Schizosaccharomyces pombe: one gene and its partners. The protein of the gene in region 2 interacts with the protein of the main gene of each other region in a biochemical or structural test. Each region holds a gene or a part of one and is shown on either strand. Other genes may lie near its edges. The genes, in order: puf3, rcd1 and zfs1.

Region 1 (6,120 bases), 4.5 Mb from region 2:
ATAGTGTATACTGATTTAATTCGCGAGGTACGTTTTTAGATATATTTATGTCATGCTAATATTGTCTAAAAAGCGAGTCTATGGTGATCTTGAAGGTATGAATTTTGTATAAACAAGTACTTTTCTAATATAAAAAATTCTAATGAAATAGGCATGAACGTTGTAGAAGCCAAAAAACTGTTGAATGCCAACCATCCAGATCATTATGGAGAGGGTTTGTCTCATCTTACTAGTCGTCTATTGAAGTTTTGGGATGAATATGTCGTCCCTTTACAAGGCAAGAAAAAATGTGTTATTGTCCTTTGCCATGGAGGTGTTATCAATGTTTTGCGAACTCATTTTATGGAGGAAAAGGGTTTCACTTTTGACAAATCGAAACTCGAAAGCAAAATCATAACCTTTAATACCAGCATTACTGAGATTGAGGTGACTGAGCATGGGACCGGTCATATTCATACGTTCGGAGATGCCTCTCACCTTGAATCGGAAGAGACTGGCAAATTAATTGCTTAAACCTCTTACTTACTATTTTTGACCTATCAAGCTTTCCTTTGCTCGTTTTAGATAGCTAGTACTAATGTTTTAGTGATAGCTCACGTTTAAATTAAAATTTTCAAATAATTTTGTTTTTTAGTATATGCTTATATAAAATTTTAAATTAATATTTTTTCATTCAAAAGGTAAATTTGGCTTATCTTAAATAATAAGTGCTGCTGTTCGTCTCCATATATAGTGAATATAATCATAAAAATGATAACAATAATAACAATATCATAATGGAATAAAGAGCATCACGTTTAACATTTCGGTTCATTTCGTGCCCCGCTGATGAGATGCGGAAAGTGTCATAAAGTACATGAAAAAACAAACACATTAAAAAAAAAGGTTTATGTACAACTTCTAACGGAAGAGTTTTGTACCACTTTAAGCCGGCGAAGCAAGGCAAAATCCACATTCATCATATTATATGGTTACTTGCATTCCTTGCTGGCCAGCTTGGGAACTGCGGAAATGGATTTTTGACGGAAACGTTCCACCGCTATCATAATAATTAGTAACGAAAAAAAAAATTGAATAAACCACTTACACATTATCAAATGCTTCCCATAGGTAAATTTTTTAAGAACAGATATATGAGGATATATGTAAGAAATAAGAAGATCCCTTTCCTCCTCTGGAGAGGCATCAAGTAATTTTTGAATCACATAGTTCGCATATTTATCCTTCATCATTAACATCAAAATACTACAACTTAACGAAATTAGTTAGATACATTCTTGGAGTTGCAAATAAAAGAGGATACTTACTTTTCAGCCTTCTCAGAGATGATTTTGTTCAAAATTCGACGTCGATCAACGTCGGAAATGTAAGAAATACACCTTTCTACAACATTAGATGCAAACTTATGACAACTTAAAAATAGCAAATGATCTATCATAAGATCAAAAATGTACTTTTTGTCGCTCTCGCTTCCGGTTCTCAATATATGTTGAACAACGTAATTTCCATATTGGTCTTGAGTTAATTTCAAAATGTGAGGTAGCAGTTCTTCTATAATTAATTTACGCTCACTATGACAATGCTCAATGGCACGCTGTATAACTCGACAACCGTATGGATGGGCGGAAAGGACATGAATTTGTGGGCGCAAAGCTCTAAGAATGAACTGTAAGTGTCCAGTATCAATGCATTCGATAGCTTTTTGAATAACATGATTTCCATTCTGGTCACATACACAATCTAGGACGTGACCATCTAATTCCTGAATAAGTTGAACTTGGTGCTCAGGAGAAATATATTCAATAGCTTTTTGAACAACTCGGCAACCATACATTTGCAAAGATAAGGAAAAAACATGACCTTTAATCTGCGACAATAATATTTGTTTCTGCTTCTCGTTACCAAATTCGAAGTACTTTTGCACCACATAATTACCAAAGATATCCATCATTAATTGCAAACAGCTAGTAGACGCAATCTCTTGAAAAACTGCTTCCCTTTCTTCTTCAGTGGCCGTCGCAAGCTTTTGTTGAATAAATCTTGAGCCATGTTGATCGGTACTGAACAAAACTACATTTCCAAGGATATCAGATAACTCGAAATGTCTCTGCTTATTTGCATGAAATAAGTACAGAACTCTGGATTGTTGCAAAAATTCCTGTCCATTTTGATTAATTAACGAAGGGTTAGCTGGAGTGGCTGCCGAAAAATTGGAAGTTGGTAATACACTTATAGGAATAGTCCCAGGAGCAACTACTTCAGAAGGATTGGTTTCGGTTTTTGGAATACCAAAGGCAGATATATCAGGCAAACTTTGTCTAAATGAAGTACCAATAGGAGAAACAGTAGGACGTACAGAGGCTGATCCAAAAAATGACGAATCATTCTTCAAAGTAGGTGAATTACCATTAGCAAATGCAGGAGAAGTTCCATAACTTTGATGAGCCATCAAACTTGAGTCGAATGAGCCATCCCAAGACGGTTTAAAAGATCCTGAGCCACTTGAAATAGAAGATTGGGTAATAGTAGTTAAATCGCCTATTGATGAATGTGAAGCATGTCTTGAAGGTTTACTTGTAGCTGGGATCCAAAAATCAGAATGTGCGCGCGTATGGCGAGGGAAAAACTTATCAGATGTTCTTGCTGTGCTAGCAGAAACTGTACGAGCAGAATCACCACCAATGGGCGTCAATGGGGATTTTAGGGTTTGTGGAAATCGGGCGCCGCACTCAGAGTTCAACTGACCATAAAGTTCTGTCTTCAAAGGACGCAAATCGGAATGTAGGCCAGATAAAGAAGAGCTAGTTGATTCGGAACGCTTACGAAAAGGGACCTCCAGTGAGTTAGGAAACTTCGAGATAACAGAATCTTCTTGCAAATTAACAAGACTTGGCATCGCCTTTATACTTTGTTTACCATTAGGGAAGGGATTACCATGATGATTAGCCGAAGGGGCAGTAGGCGTAGATACCAGTGAATCGGGAGAATCCCCGTCAAGTGAAAGCCAAGTTAAAGACGGGATCGGGTTAGAGTAGGAAACAGGTGACTCTAAGGAAGCTTGTTTGTTTGATCCGTGTGGGAAAGTATAGTTAGAACTGATCATAGAGGAATTGAAGAATGAAGAAGTTGGTGATGTGCCAGACAAAAGACTGGGCCGACGTTGACCATAATTATTCGTATCCAAAGAAGATACAGGTGCTGACGGGAAATTGAATGCAGAATTTCCCGAAATGCTCTCAGATGCGTTTGGATTGGAATTTACAGCAGTAAACATCACAAAATGGAAACACAGTTTTCACAGGTAAGCGAAAGTGTAAAGATTTACAAATGATGTAGCACAAAAAAGGAGTGTAACGAAGTTTTACTGATACTTGGAGCAAACCAAAAAGCACAAAGAAGGATATAACAGTAAAAAAAGAATAGAAATAGAAACAACCCAAATGAAATAAAGTAAATGTCGCTTGTCTCCACTGGTTGATTGTACCGGTCAAAGTAATAAGTTAAACAAAAATACTTGAGGAAAAGTATTTCTACGGCTTTGAATTGAGACCTATTATTGCATAAATAGCGGCAAAAAATTGGATGATTCTTCAAAATCTCGTAAGAGTTTAGCAACGACTGCTTCACTCACTAACGAAGGACACCAAAAGAATTAGTAATGTATATATATATATATATATATATATATATGTTATGAATATTATATATATAAATTAGTTAAATCAAATAAATCAATGTCGGGTAAAGCTCGGGAAAAAAACTTTTGGAAGGGTAAAGCTTATATAAGGGAGATGCAACGAATATGAAATTGTGTTCGAAGTGTTATGAACTTACAAAAAGTAGAAAAAAATCTAGAAGAGGAAGGTAAAAAAAGAAAAAAAAGAATCAATGAATCGATAAAGAATGATTGTTAGAATCAAATTTCCCGTTTTCGAATCGAAGAAGCCCAACAAGTATTAACATGAAATCGTAGTTGAGAATAATGATGATGAAAAAGGATTCGCCAAGACTAGTCAGCGTTCAATTATGGTAATTTTAGTACCTAAAGCTTCTTTTCTTTTTAATGAAACGAGATTTCACAATTTCGAGCGCCTTAGGTGGTATTAAGGAAATTAAAGTATGCTTCTGATATGATGAATCAGTAGTTTTTCAAAGTGCTTTCCGATTAATTGATATCAAACTTAGAAAAAAATGTAAAGAAACCAAAAGGGTAAAAAATAAAATGCAATTCAAACTTGGAGTCGAAGTGGTTCCCGGTAAGTTTGATGAGCTGAGCGCTTCCACTTTATGTCATGACGATCGGTCGAACAAACCATTAAACAAATATACAATGTCGTTAATCTTACAATTTTATTTCTATTTTTTACAAACTTAGAATTACTATTTATGTATTCAACTATAGCAATTGCTGCATATCGACTACCAAACGACTTTCGTTCACTGCGCTCAACGGTACTATATCCGCAGACATATCTCTTGTCTATTGAAATCAGCCGTCAGGCGTATAGCGTGCCTTTACTTTCCGTGAAACACTTAACGCAGGCACGGAACAAGGTGGAACGCAGCTCCGACTAGGTTCGGAAAGAAATCTTCGAAGAACACAAATGCTTGTGAGTAATGCTGCAGTACAGTGTGTACTTTATATCGTTATAGAAGGTAATGCACAAGAGATTTACAATTGCAAAAGTCTCAAGGAGGCGCTGCATGAGGCATCTCTTCCAAGAAGTTCACAAAAACGACAGCTTCCGTGGGGGCTAATAGCGGGACACTATTTCCTAAAACATAAGTTATTTACATCTCCTAGAGTCTAGAAAACGATAGCGTAATGAGTAATTTTCGGCTAAAACAAATGACTGCTAAATCATGGGTTGAATAGTAAAAGGTTTCAGTTTGAGAACGGGTGATTAATAATAATAGCAACAATTACAGATGGGAAAACTTGAGGGCTTGGTGGAACTTTCGTTTGAAATACGATAGAAAGAGTGTCATGAAAGAGTTAATAATTAGTATTGCTTCGTTTGAAAAAGAAGAGAGAAGTTGATCATTCCATAGATTATAGAGTATCGTAAATGGTTTAACACGACATCAAATAAAAAAGAACGAAATTATTTCTGTATGAACCACCATATCACGGATGTGCGCACAGGTTTCATTCCATTATTCAAAATAATACTATAAATTAATTTTATTTATTGTATAATGAGAATCCCAAAAGTCGTAGAGAAATTTTTAAAGCATTCCATCCGTAACATAGGATCGGACATGACCCATTTTATACTACAATGGTAGATGTGTTGATAATCAAAGGGCTCATGGTGTTGGATTTTCTTGACCACGCTTTTGCATGTGCTGTGAAAGACTCTGATTTGCTTCAAAGTATTTCGATACACAACGGTCAATACACACGCTTTCTCCTTTCGTTAAATCGGCTTCATAGTATTTAGGAGATATGCACTTTTTATGACAGGTCATTACAAGTCTAGAAAGGAATGTTAGCGACTTTTGTAGAAAAATTTTTAGAAATTCGTCGGATTGGTCTTTTCATAAGATAAAACAATGTAAATGTATTAAAGAAGTAAACAAATACTTATGTAAAATTGGAATAATATTACGTTGCCAAAAATTAGTCTACCAAAGTACCATAGTTTTTAAAAAAGCTAGGTATGCAGTACAATTGACTTAAACGAGTACAGCACTACTTTCAAGGTATGTACTGAGACTTTGTAACTTTTTGACAACCCTTCGAATACTTAAATTCACGATGAATTTTGAAACGTAAAAATAGACGGCTGTAAATATCAATCCTTAGCTTCTCTATTAAGCATACCTATTAAAGATATCAGACATCATCTCAACCTCTTGCTCAGCCATAGCAATGTTCTGAGGATTAATGGTCTGATTATTCTTTCCGATTCCAAACATAGACATTTTTATAGATTTATGGCGCAAAGATTGCTTTCAATTTGGTTTTTTTATTAAACCGATAGCACTGTTGCGGTGGAATGAGAGTAGGCATATTGTTAAAGCATCTACCTTAAAGTAGCAGTGAGCTTTCAAGTAACATCCTTAGTTTTTAGGCTACGATGTACCATGAGAACTCCACGTTGTCCGCTTAATAAT
Region 2 (4,371 bases):
GATCGGTTGAATCTTCGGAAGTTTTCTGGGTCGTTGGCTGCACAGCACTGTTATTCTGGACCACAAAACTGGGAGCCTCAACTTCCAAAGGCTCTCCAAAATCAACCTCAGTCTCCGGCAAATTTGGTTTGGGATCATTTAGGTTTTCAGAAGACACCAACGTATTTTCCTTACTAAGCTCAGGGGTATCGGTAACGGGTTTGCTTGCGACGAAATCCAAAGTTTGATGTTGCCCGGAGGAATTTTGGTTATGTACAAAAAAAGTGGATTCGTTATTTTCCGATTCAAGCTGAGATGAAGCCCTATCAACTGTAGTCGACGATTCTATATTGGCTTTGATATTGTCGTTCGAAACAGGCTTATCTTCAAGTTTGTCAACAGCATCTAAAGATGAAATTTGCATTTCTTTTGGCGTCGTATTCAATACTACAGAATCGTTGTTAAACTCTTTTTCATTCCCAGCTTCAGAAGTTAGATTTACGGTTTCAAAAGTCCCTTCCATTCCGTGAATGGAAGGAACCTCGTGGACTTCATGGTCTTCATTTTCATGCTCAAAAGTTGTAATTAAATCAGATGTCTGATCTTCCATATCAAGAGTGTCATTATATTGAGAGTTCGTAATGTATGCATTCTCAACTGAAGTACTAGTTTCTATCTTTTCGACTTCTGGAGATGGTGGTTTAGGAATTGTCTCATCATTATCATATATTTCTTTTTGCGACGATGAATAGTTTTCGTCACCCTTAAGAGTCGTTTCTAAGTCTTCCTTGCTCAAGTCTTCTTCAGAGAGTTTATCGTCTTCATCCACAACAGGCTCATCCATTATGTCAGAAATAATGGTTCCAGCAGTAATTTTTACCAAGTTATCATTTGAAGACTCCTCTTCTGTGTGAGCCGATTTGTCGCCAATGGTATTTTGAGGATTAATTTCCTGCACATTGTCCAAAGAATTACTCTCTATTAAGTTGCTTTCTTCTTTAACACCTTCTTTAGGCTCAGAGGAAGGCAACTGAATGTCAATTTCTGAAACTGACTGTTGAGAGGAGCTATTGGCTATGTTGTTTTCAACAAAGGAATCCATAGGTTCAATTGTGCTTTGTTCTTTTCTAGAGGTAGAAAAAATGGTGTTTTCATCTGTCACATCAATATCGTCAGCTTCAAAAGACTTGCGTATAGAATCATGCCGTCCTTCAAGATCAACAGAAGACTCCTTAGGCTCGTGGTCTGATTCAATATCCATTCCTTGATACGTTAGTGCCCAATATTATATTACTAAGACGAAAAATTTAGCTTATTTTTTAAACGAAAAATAGGCAGCAAAGTATACCAATAAATGGAGGATAAAACAATGCTCAAAGTTGTAGGAAAAAAATTGGCCCCTAGCTTTCCATGAGAAATGGTCAACCAAAATTTCACAAACAGTAATCGAAAATAATAATAGGTAGGTTCAAATAAAAAACAATCAACCACAAGGATATAGAAAATGGTAGGAAGTTTGTTGATGGCGCCAGTCAGTATCGAGAGATTAAAGTCAGAAGCAGAATAGCATACATCCTTATACTACGCTATATTAATTGTTCGTGAATGTTGTTCATAATTCTTCGTAAGGGTAAATATAGTAAACAAAAAAGCTATTCAAACATTAACGCAATTATTGAAGAAGAAACGGCTCAAGTTATTATATGTTTGAATACTAAATTACTCTTGATGAAAGTGTAAATGATGTGCAATTAGCAAACATCAACGGTTACGCATTCGGTATGAATATGTATTTACAAATCTTTAGAAAAGTAGTATTTACAAAAGCGTTAGAAATAACTTTTAAAAAAGGCTTTCAAAGATATAACATAGGTAAATTCCTTTTCTTATATCTCTGTTATTTTATAGCTTCTATTAGAAGCGAGCTAAGAATGGTTAAATACCTTTTCTAAATGCGTTTTGCCCACTTTTCTTTAAAAATATTTGATTCTCCTTATTACTCAGTAATGTATCTTGCATTTTTCTAACGCGCAGTGCGGTAGGTTTGCTATTCCCTGCCAACACTGTGCTTGTCCATTGCTCTCACGCGAAATCTACGGAACAGCATTTGCAGTTCAGGTTTATAAGATTGTTGTATTTTAAATTATTTAAGTCCAGTATTGCTGTGCAAGTTGATACTGTTTGGCACGCATAGCACGAGGACTGAAATTCCATTAAAATTTTAAAAGCTTTATCATTTTCTCGACACTCAGCACTTTACTGACTGTCGTTTAACGTTAATACCTTTTCTTTACCTTTTAGTGCATTATTCTATCCTTTGGATTGAACTACAAATTCGTTAGGTGTTGCTCTTTAGTTCCGGCAGCTATAAAATTATTATTCTTTATTTTATTCTTTTCGACAATAAACTATAGCATTTTTATTTCTTTCCCGCATTCTAGAAAAAATGGAAAACTTGGAATCCCCTAATTATGAACCAGCACTTGTCTATGAATGGATAATTCAACTTGTTTCTGGGACATCTCGCGAACAAGCTCTTGTCGAACTATCTCGTAAACGAGAACAGTATGAAGATTTGGCTCTTATTTTATGGCATTCATATGGTGTGATGACGGCTTTGTTGCAAGAAATTATCAGCGTTTATCCTCTTTTAAATCCACCCACACTTACAGGACCAACTAGTAACAGAGTGTGCAACGCGCTAGCTTTACTCCAGTGTATCGCTTCTCATCCTGAAACTAGAATCCACTTTTTAAATGCACACATTACTTTATTTCTATACCCGTTTTTGAATACCCTTTCAAAATCCAAACCTTTTGAATACCTGCGCCTTACTAGTTTAGGGGTGATTGGTGCATTAGTTAAAAATGACTCTCCAGAAGTAATCAACTTTTTATTATCTACAGAAATTATTCCTCTTTGTCTCAGAATCATGGAGAACGGTTCTGAATTATCAAAAACCGTTGCGATTTTCATCGTACAAAAATTTTTATGTGACGACGTTGGTCTTCAATATATTTGTCAAACATATGAACGCTTTTATGCAGTTGCGTCGGTTTTGAACAACATGGTAATGCAGCTTGTAGACTCTTTTGCTTTTCGTTTACTAAAGCATGTTATTCGTTGCTATCTTCGTCTTAGTGACAATCCTCGCGCCAGAGAAGCTCTAAGACACTGTCTACCAGAACCTTTACGTGATGCTACCTTTGCTCAGGTTTTAAAGGATGATCACAACACTAAAAAATGTCTTGCCCAATTGTTAATCAACTTATCAGACGTCGCCGTTGTTAATCAGTAATCGTTATTTTTTTTTTTTTTAAAAAACTTTTCTTAAATGTTGAATTAATTATTTCAATATCTGCCCTTCGTTTCCTATCTGGTTTACTTTCAATCATAATTTGTGACCGTAAGTGATTGGCATATGGCGATTTTTTGTGTTATTCGTCCGTCACCAATTTTTTCTTGTGTCTTTCTTATATCTTCCTTTATTATTATTTTTGCCCTGTCATTTTTCACTCCTCTTAATGTGCTCAAGTTATTCCTCAGGACAGAACTTACTCTGATGGCTTTTTTAAGGAAATCAGGGGTTTACTGTTAATTTTGCTTACAATTGTTAGATTCAGGATTTCATATCCTTTTCTCTTAATCTTTCCTTAAAATGCGTCACGAATGATGATTTTTACGAGTCAGCAAAATTTAAAAAAAAAAATAGAAAAAGATATAACATTCGCCGACGCATTTAATGTTTTTAACCAAAACACCTTTTTTCCTATTTCGTATCATATATACTTATACTATTTCTACAATATTCAATTCAGTTTCATCGATTACCTCTAATAAATTTAAAGAATTCGTACAATAGACAACAGAATTTGATTTATATTTACGTTCGTTAATTCTGCTATACTTCATTCAAGCAAATAATCAGATAAAAGTAATTTGAGATAATTTGTCCTCCTAATTATAGTGTTTGTCATATGCGACTACCAAGAATTACTAAATTTGCTTTATATCGAGAAAACCCTTGCCTACTCCCTCTTTATCATGCCACAAGAGATCCATCTTTGGCTAAAAGAGAGTGGACGTGGATATGCAAGGAATTAAAGCTGCTGTATCCAGAAATTAGCAAACATGGGTTGCGAAAAAAGATAGTAAATGCCTGTCAACTTCGAGCAAGAAACTATCCACTTCAGTATATACTGAAAAGTCAACCTTTTGGTAATATCAAGATAGATTGTCAACAAGGAGTTTTAATACCTCGTTGGGAAACAGAAGAATGGGTTGAACGTGTGGTTGATAAGCTAAATCGACTCGAGAGATTAAAACCGTTAAAGATTCTCGATTTATGTACAGGGTCTGGCTGCATATCAAGCTTTGTGTTGGCAAACCTAA
Region 3 (7,075 bases), on a different chromosome or scaffold from region 2:
TATAATAAATAACAGATTATTCCGTTACACAACACATTATTGACTAAACTTCCGTATATGAATTGAGTGTACGTTTTCACCATCATCAGTCAGTTCATTCGGTCGATACGCATGTGGCATGAATTTACCAGTTTTACGTGTTTCGTACAATGACAATTTGTGATTGCCGGTTTTGATGAATTCATCATGATACGATGGATTTGCTTCACTAGCAACGCCTATATGTTTAAAATGAAGACACTTAGGTCTAGAAATCTCTGTTTTTCTGTTTTCTGTTAAATCATTTTACCGAGAATAAAGGGGTATGTATGATGGATGGGGTACTTTCAATTCTTTGCTTTTCCTCGACCCACTGTAACCCAAGCAACATGCTAAAGAAAGCGAATCGGCCGTTTTCTCGATTTGAGTAGTATTATCATTGTTATTATAATTTGATATTTTAATATTGTTTTACTAGCAAGATCAACTTCCCTTTGTTCTTTTACATAGCGCAATTCCTCCTAGCTGAACACCTGACCGACCCCTTAACCCCTCCTCGTTCTCCCTTTGCCAAAATAAAAAAAAATAAAAAAAATAAAGAAAATATCAATAAATAATTTAATAAAAATTTTTTTTAAACAAAAATAGTTTTGAAACCCAAAATTAGGTAGACTATCTTTTGTATCATGCCGTAATTCGTATTCTCCGTCGTGTTTGCCAAAATTCAATCATCACTCAGATACTGTCAATAATAGCTTTTATATTTCAAATTATTCATCAATTTCATTTGTACTTTATTCATTTATTCCATTTTTCAACTTTTATTTAGATATCCTTACTCTTGTCTTTTTTACGTTTGTTTATGTCTTTTTGATGGATGGTTCTTGCAACTCGTTTTGCCATCTCCATCTCCCGCTGCTACTCTAAGCAAAAGCATTGCCGATGCATAACAACGCCTTCCGTAATTTTTATTAGTCCTCCGTATGACCACATTTGTCTGTAGTAAAAATGAGCTGTCCAGTCGAGAACTCCAGCTTCGTATGCATGCTTCCGGATCCTATCGTGCTCAAAGACCATCCCGCTATCTTACTTTACAATGTAGATTTGAACACGCCCCAGTGTGGAGGTAAACTTTCTGGGCCTTTTGAGCAATGGTAAGTACGTGTCTTCCGTTCATTATCCCAATCAGCTACAATTTATCGCCAATACTCTCCAATGAATGGAAGAACAATTACCAAACAAACACTGGGGATTGTGCCCACAGTAGATTGCGTGTAGAAGGGATAACAAACATGCTATTGCCATGCATGCATCTACACCAAGGAAATTAGAAAAAAATTTGTTCAAAAACGAAAAACTATTCTTTTTGATAATATGTGTAAAAATAAAATAAAATAAAATAAAATAAAATAAAATAAAATAAAATACCAATACATTTTGTTTCATATAGAATATAGAACTGCTCATAAATTAAAAAATAGCCTGCATCAAAAAAATTTATTCCAATTCCCTCGTCTTTACCTAAAACAACTAATACTGTACTACTTTTTTTAAATCGCATTCCTTTAGAGCACGCACTTTTCGAACCAATACACCGCCATTCTATGCAATGCTTCCCCTTTCCCTATTGTAATTCTACCGATAATTTTATTCTCGGAGTTGTTTTATGACTTTCTAATTTACTTTGTAAATTTTTCTTTTTTTGAAAGCTCCTCCATCTGTCCTTGCTCACGTTTGCCATCTTTCCATTTCAACACTGTAGTGTACTGCGCCACAACATCCGCACTGAGTGTCTTTTGCACATACCACTGATTTTACCGACATTCCCCACTTTTAAACAACTTGTAAGCACAGGGCTTGTTGAGTCCATCAACTTGCTCTTTCGACATCTTCTAGGTCGTTGACTTTACGTAGTATAAAGTGGCATTGATGCTCGAACACAATTAACTAATCTTAACACATTGATAATTGGTTTCTTTGTGTTTTAAACAAAAAAAAATTTCATCTCTTTTGTTGTCCCATATATATATTGATTGCGTGTAACCTTGAAATAACCTCAATTTCTGTACCGGGGTCGTTGCGTATCGAAACACTATTGTTATCGTCCTAGCATATTTGGATACTGTGTACTACACTATTGTCGTGCTCTCTTTTACTTTACTTTACTCACTTTTCCTTCCTTCTTGCCCGACACGACATTGAAACTGCTGGCTTCCTAGCCTTGCTCCTCCTTTTCGACCGGACCTGCTACGTGCTGTAAATTGATTAATCGTATACAATTGTGGTTTTTGACAATTTTCTTTTATTCTGTCGATTTTCTCTTTTTCTCTTATCACGACTTTCTGCTTCTCTTCTACAATATTTTGCTAATCGGCTTGTGTTGTATCAACAGCAAAGCTAAGTGACTTGACATTACTAGAATTCTTCCTTTCCTTCAAAAACACGTGCAAGTTTGTTCCATTTTAATATCTACGTTTCCTTCCTTGATTGCACTATTTCATCATTAGAGGGAACCACTTTTCTATATTACCAAGCACCTACTTATTTGGGATTTATTTATTTTTATTTCCTACGGCTAACTCGATTACGATTAGTGCGCGGCTTTTTCTCTTTGGAAAAATTTTTCTTGTTGGAACGGTTGTCAATCGCGTGCTATATTGCTTTCCTTCTTACCCGTTTACAATTTAGCTTTCCCTTTTCTCCTTTTGCAATTTTTTTTGGGTTTTTTTTAAAACGTACACACGCACTGTGTATTCCATCTAGCCATCAATCCTTCATTTTTTTTCCACCGATTAATCCTTTTCTATATATACCGGAATTTTCCGTCTTTTCTTTTTCGGACACTTTTACGAGCTGTTGCGAATTTCGTTATTCTTAGTTTGTGTTATTTGCTTTTAGCCGCCCTTTTTCTTCTTCTCTGCATCAACATAACAGGTCAGGGACCAGACAGGACAGGACGAAACAACAACGTAATCGTTCAACCAACTTCTATTACCATCGACCTCTAACTTACCGACTTACCACCACAACACTTTCCTCCAGAATAGTTGAAAGCCTTTTGACTTTGCTGAATCTTTCTTTGTGTGTCCGTGTGTGTGTCTGTTTTTTTCAAATTCATCACTGTTTGAATATCGGCATCTCATCCTTTTTCTCAATTTCTCAATTTCTTGCCTGAGATACCGTTTGTTCTTTCCGTTGAATACTTTTTTTCTGCAGTGTGAAAAAATTCCGTTTTACGTTGACAAAACATTTATCTCGGATTGAAAGTTGTTTTCGTAGCTGTTTGTTTTAGTCTATTCCTTTCAACCGGTTTTCTTGTCTCTGTTAGATTTGTTTTCTCTTCTTCATTCTGAGTCAAGCTCTGGGTTTTTTTCTTTGTTGGAAAACCATTCTCTTTTCAATTTTATTTCTCTTTTCTGATATCGAAGCAAAAGAGCTCCTAAACGCTCTCAATTACTGTTTAACGTAACAGATATATTAACATCTTAGTATATTTGCGTTTTATTTGTTGAAACTTTCGCATATCCCCTTAAAGCTTTTTGTGGCAATCCTTATCTGATATTGATTTATTCTTTTGATTCGCCATTTCTTTCGACGTTTTTAAAGTACTCTAAAAGAGAAATTATTTAAAATACTTTAAATTGGGCTCTGTTCTTTTCTCCATCCCACTTTTGTATCTTTGCAGCAATAGTCGGTTTGGTTGATAATCCCTATATTTCTTTGGACAAGATATTATCTTTTGCTGAAAAAACACCCCATCTTTCGATTTTGAAATTTTTTTTTCTGTTTCAATTTCTTATTTCTTTCTACTGATTACTCTCCTCATCAATTCTCACTCTTTTTTCATTTCAAATCTCGCTTTTATCCTATATCAGTGATAAAACTCCTGTTTGATGCTCACCTTGCACATTGGCACTAACTTTAACGTTTTCCCTTTATATCCGCAAATTCCCTTTTTTTTGTGCTTCGTATATTAAAAGCGTTCCCTTATTAGGTTTTTTTATACATTAAGGATTTACGATTAGTCTCATTTTGTTGTGTTTTGAGATTTGTGTTTTATGTTCATCTGTTGTATTCACTTACTTCAGAGAAAAAAAAGGCGTTTTTGTTCTTTTGGTTTAAATTTTATTCCCTAAAATTTGCATTCAACTCGGATTTTTTCTTTGTTTGACGACTGTTTTTTGAAAAGGATTGCTTTGGGTCACAAACACAATACATCCATCTATTAAACTTTTGTCTTCTATACTTTTACTTCCTTCTCAAAATCTTTCCTTATATCATTGTGTGGTTTCTCTCCGTTTTCTTGTATCTTTTCTGTTCGACTTCTGAAAAAACAGCGTCTCTATACTATTGATTTTCATCTTAAATTTGCGTGTTTTCTTTTTAACTCTACGTTTCTCTCGTTTTTCTGCATATTACTTTCGGTGATTACCCTGTAATTCTATTTTGAAGGTTGACGTTTTTTTCAAGTTCCTGATTCCATAATTCTATTTAACACAAGTTTTTTACTGGAATTTTTTAAGTTATTCTGCGCAACCTTTTTTTGATTCATTTTACAACTTCTTTGTTCGTTTATAACTAATCTTCTATTGTATCACTTTTTTCTAGTGAACTTCATTAATTTATTGCGTGTCTGTTTTTTATTCTTTTAACCATGGTTTATTCTCCTATGTCTCGACCTCAAGTACCTCTGGCTTTTCGCCAATGGCCCCCCTACAATTATAAGAGTGATCCCCTTGTCAACTCAAAACTATCTCAGTCTACTACGTCTGTTAATGCAGGACCCAGTTTAATAAGTCCATCATTCCTTGACTCCTACGCCAACTCCTCATCTTTACTTCACAAGCCATCTACAAATTTGGGCAGTTTAAAGACATCTAGTCTTCTCGCCTCTGATGAAGTTTTCCCTTCTTCAGTCATGCCCCAGCTTCGTCCATTGGATTCAAGTTTATCTGTTTCTCCTGAAATGGACGGTTGGCCATGGCATCACAATTCTTCTTCTAACCCACAGGGATACGCATGGACACCTTCATTACTTTCTTCCAACGCTACTAGCTATTTACATTCTGGTAGTTCTCCTCATGGAAACACAAGCAATCATCCTTCACCTATATCATCCTTGGAGAGTCTTCCTTCTCGTAGTAGCACTGGTAGTGGTAGTCTTGATTTTTCCGGCCTTGCCAATCTCCACGATGATTCCAAATCACTGGCCATGTCTTTGAACATGGCTGGCGTCCCTGTATCCGTCGATGAGAACTCTCAAACTTCGTTTCCTTTTGTTCATGGTCAACCGGAATCTACCATGTCTAGAAAACCTAAGCTGTGCGTTCAATCGAAATCAATGACAAACATCCGCAACTCTGTTGCTAAACCGTCGTTAGTTAGACAATCGCATTCAGCGGGGGTTATTCCCATCAAGCCTACAGCATCGAATGCCTCAATTCGCAATGCTCCTTCCAATTTATCAAAGCAATTTTCACCTTCGGGTAATAGTCCTCTTACTGAGGCTTCCAAACCTTTCGTTCCTCAACCATCAGCTGCAGGAGATTTTCGCCAAGCTAAGGGTTCAGCTAGCCATCCTCATGGTTCTGGCAGTAGTAATGGGGTAGCTCCCAACGGCAAGCGCGCATTATATAAGACCGAGCCTTGCAAGAATTGGCAAATTAGTGGAACTTGCCGTTATGGCTCTAAATGTCAATTTGCGCATGGCAACCAGGAACTGAAAGAACCTCCTCGTCACCCAAAATACAAAAGCGAGCGTTGCCGATCTTTCATGATGTATGGTTATTGTCCTTACGGATTGCGATGCTGCTTTTTGCATGATGAATCCAATGCTCAAAAAAGTGCAACTATTAAGCAATCTCCTTGATATCACATCAGCTTGTATAAGATGACTTTTGTTCTTTGTTGTTATGCAATCTGGGTGAGATTAATTTATTATGACGCTTACTTTCCTATCCTCCTTGGTTTTCTTATACGGTTATTATTTATATTGTTCTTCTGTAACATTATGTGAGCTTTTCTTTTGCAATCGCCTTTACCTTGTTTTTATTTATGGTTTTATCGCAAGGTTTGAGTTTGCCAGTCATGTTCACACTTTATTCTTTATTTATTTGATGACCTTATTGGTCAAGATAGAATTTATAAGAGAAAAAAATTAAAGAAGATCATGAGTTAGTTACTCTGTCATATGTCAGGGTACTGTTTTTATTTTTGCAAATCATGTACCTTTAGCTTTTTGCAGAATGGCGATTTAAAGAGTTATGAGAAGATTGGACAATATATATTTATAGTATTAAATTCGAATCTTGTTTACTTCGTCTAGCAATGCGATACGCATGAATCGGGGTTTTATTAGATTTGTGTGGTATCTGTAATATACTGTTATAATTCGAATCAAGGGAGTTTCTTAAAATACCCAATCTTATTACGAAAATGATTTATGCAATCAGGGAGATTTGATGAGCGAAGCCTATGTATTATTTGAATAACAGTAACGTTACTGCAAAAATTTAAGTAGTTATTTGAATGTTGTGCACTTTTCATAAACATAGATTTGCAATATGCATCAAAAATTTGTAACGCAATTCTGTACTGCTTACAAACAATTTTATTCACGAGAAAACTACCAGGCTATACATAGTAACACATACAAGCATTTTTGGAAAGTTAGTTAAAAAAATTCATTAAACTCGGACTACTTTACTCGTTATTTAATCGCTATCGGCTTGCTGTTCCAAGATAACTAATGAATTGATCTTCTGCAGAGCCAATTCCAAACATTGCCGCTTATGCTGCAACTGTAGCTGTGACTTGAGACGAGGATTTTCATTGACAAATGCATTCAACTGTTCAGAACTCAAAGAATGGATGAGACGCTGATCCAGTTCACGTGGAAATTGGTAATAAAACTCAGAAAGCAGCTCAATATTAATAAATAAAACTGCGGTATTAACCAGTTTATCAGAAACGGCATTTAAAAAAATTTCAGGACAGGTGTACTTCGCTTCTTTGTGCTTACAGGCCCTAGATTTTAAAACAGAAATTCGTAATTTTAAAATATCCTCGCGCATTTTTAGATATTGTAACATTCGTC

The links.
Region 1: the proteins of rcd1 (region 2) and puf3 form a complex in vitro, tested with the Schizosaccharomyces pombe proteins (one study listed by BioGRID).
Region 3: the proteins of rcd1 (region 2) and zfs1 form a complex in vitro, tested with the Schizosaccharomyces pombe proteins (one study listed by BioGRID).

The regions. Positions count from the first base shown.
Region 1 is NC_003424.3:942,654-948,773, forward strand, and holds puf3 (pumilio family RNA-binding protein Puf3), read right to left. Parts: upstream 4,256-6,120; 5' UTR 3,275-4,255; coding exon 1,308-3,274; intron 1,252-1,307; coding exon 1,088-1,251; intron 1,040-1,087; coding exon 972-1,039; 3' UTR 612-971; downstream 1-611. Other genes in the region: SPOM_SPAC1687.21 (fructose-2,6-bisphosphatase), read left to right, coding at 1-27, 74-95, 152-513; Tim9-Tim10 complex subunit Tim10, read right to left, coding at 5,311-5,479, 5,828-5,928. UniProt on the Schizosaccharomyces pombe protein: RNA-binding protein involved in post-transcriptional regulation. Predominantly binds to mRNAs encoding mitochondrial proteins and localizes them to the vicinity of mitochondria for translation. Regulates mitochondrial biogenesis, motility and morphology.
Region 2 is NC_003424.3:5,416,866-5,421,236, reverse strand, and holds rcd1 (CCR4-NOT complex subunit Rcd1), read left to right. Parts: upstream 1-2,063; 5' UTR 2,064-2,425; coding exon 2,426-3,277; 3' UTR 3,278-3,871; downstream 3,872-4,371. Other genes in the region: multidomain vesicle coat component Sec16, read right to left, coding at 1-1,240; mtq1 (S-adenosylmethionine-dependent methyltransferase), read left to right, coding at 3,957-4,371. UniProt on the Schizosaccharomyces pombe protein: A differentiation-controlling factor that is essential for the onset of sexual development. Induces ste11 when sexual development is invoked through nitrogen starvation.
Region 3 is NC_003423.3:3,482,227-3,489,301, reverse strand, and holds zfs1 (zinc finger protein), read left to right. Parts: upstream 1-1,855; 5' UTR 1,856-4,633; coding exon 4,634-5,848; 3' UTR 5,849-6,454; downstream 6,455-7,075. Other genes in the region: dynamin family GTPase Msp1, read right to left, coding at 6,693-7,075. UniProt on the Schizosaccharomyces pombe protein: Binds to specific AU-rich elements (ARE) in the 3'-untranslated region of target mRNAs and promotes their degradation. Binds to ARE present in the arz1 mRNA and stimulates the rate of arz1 mRNA decay.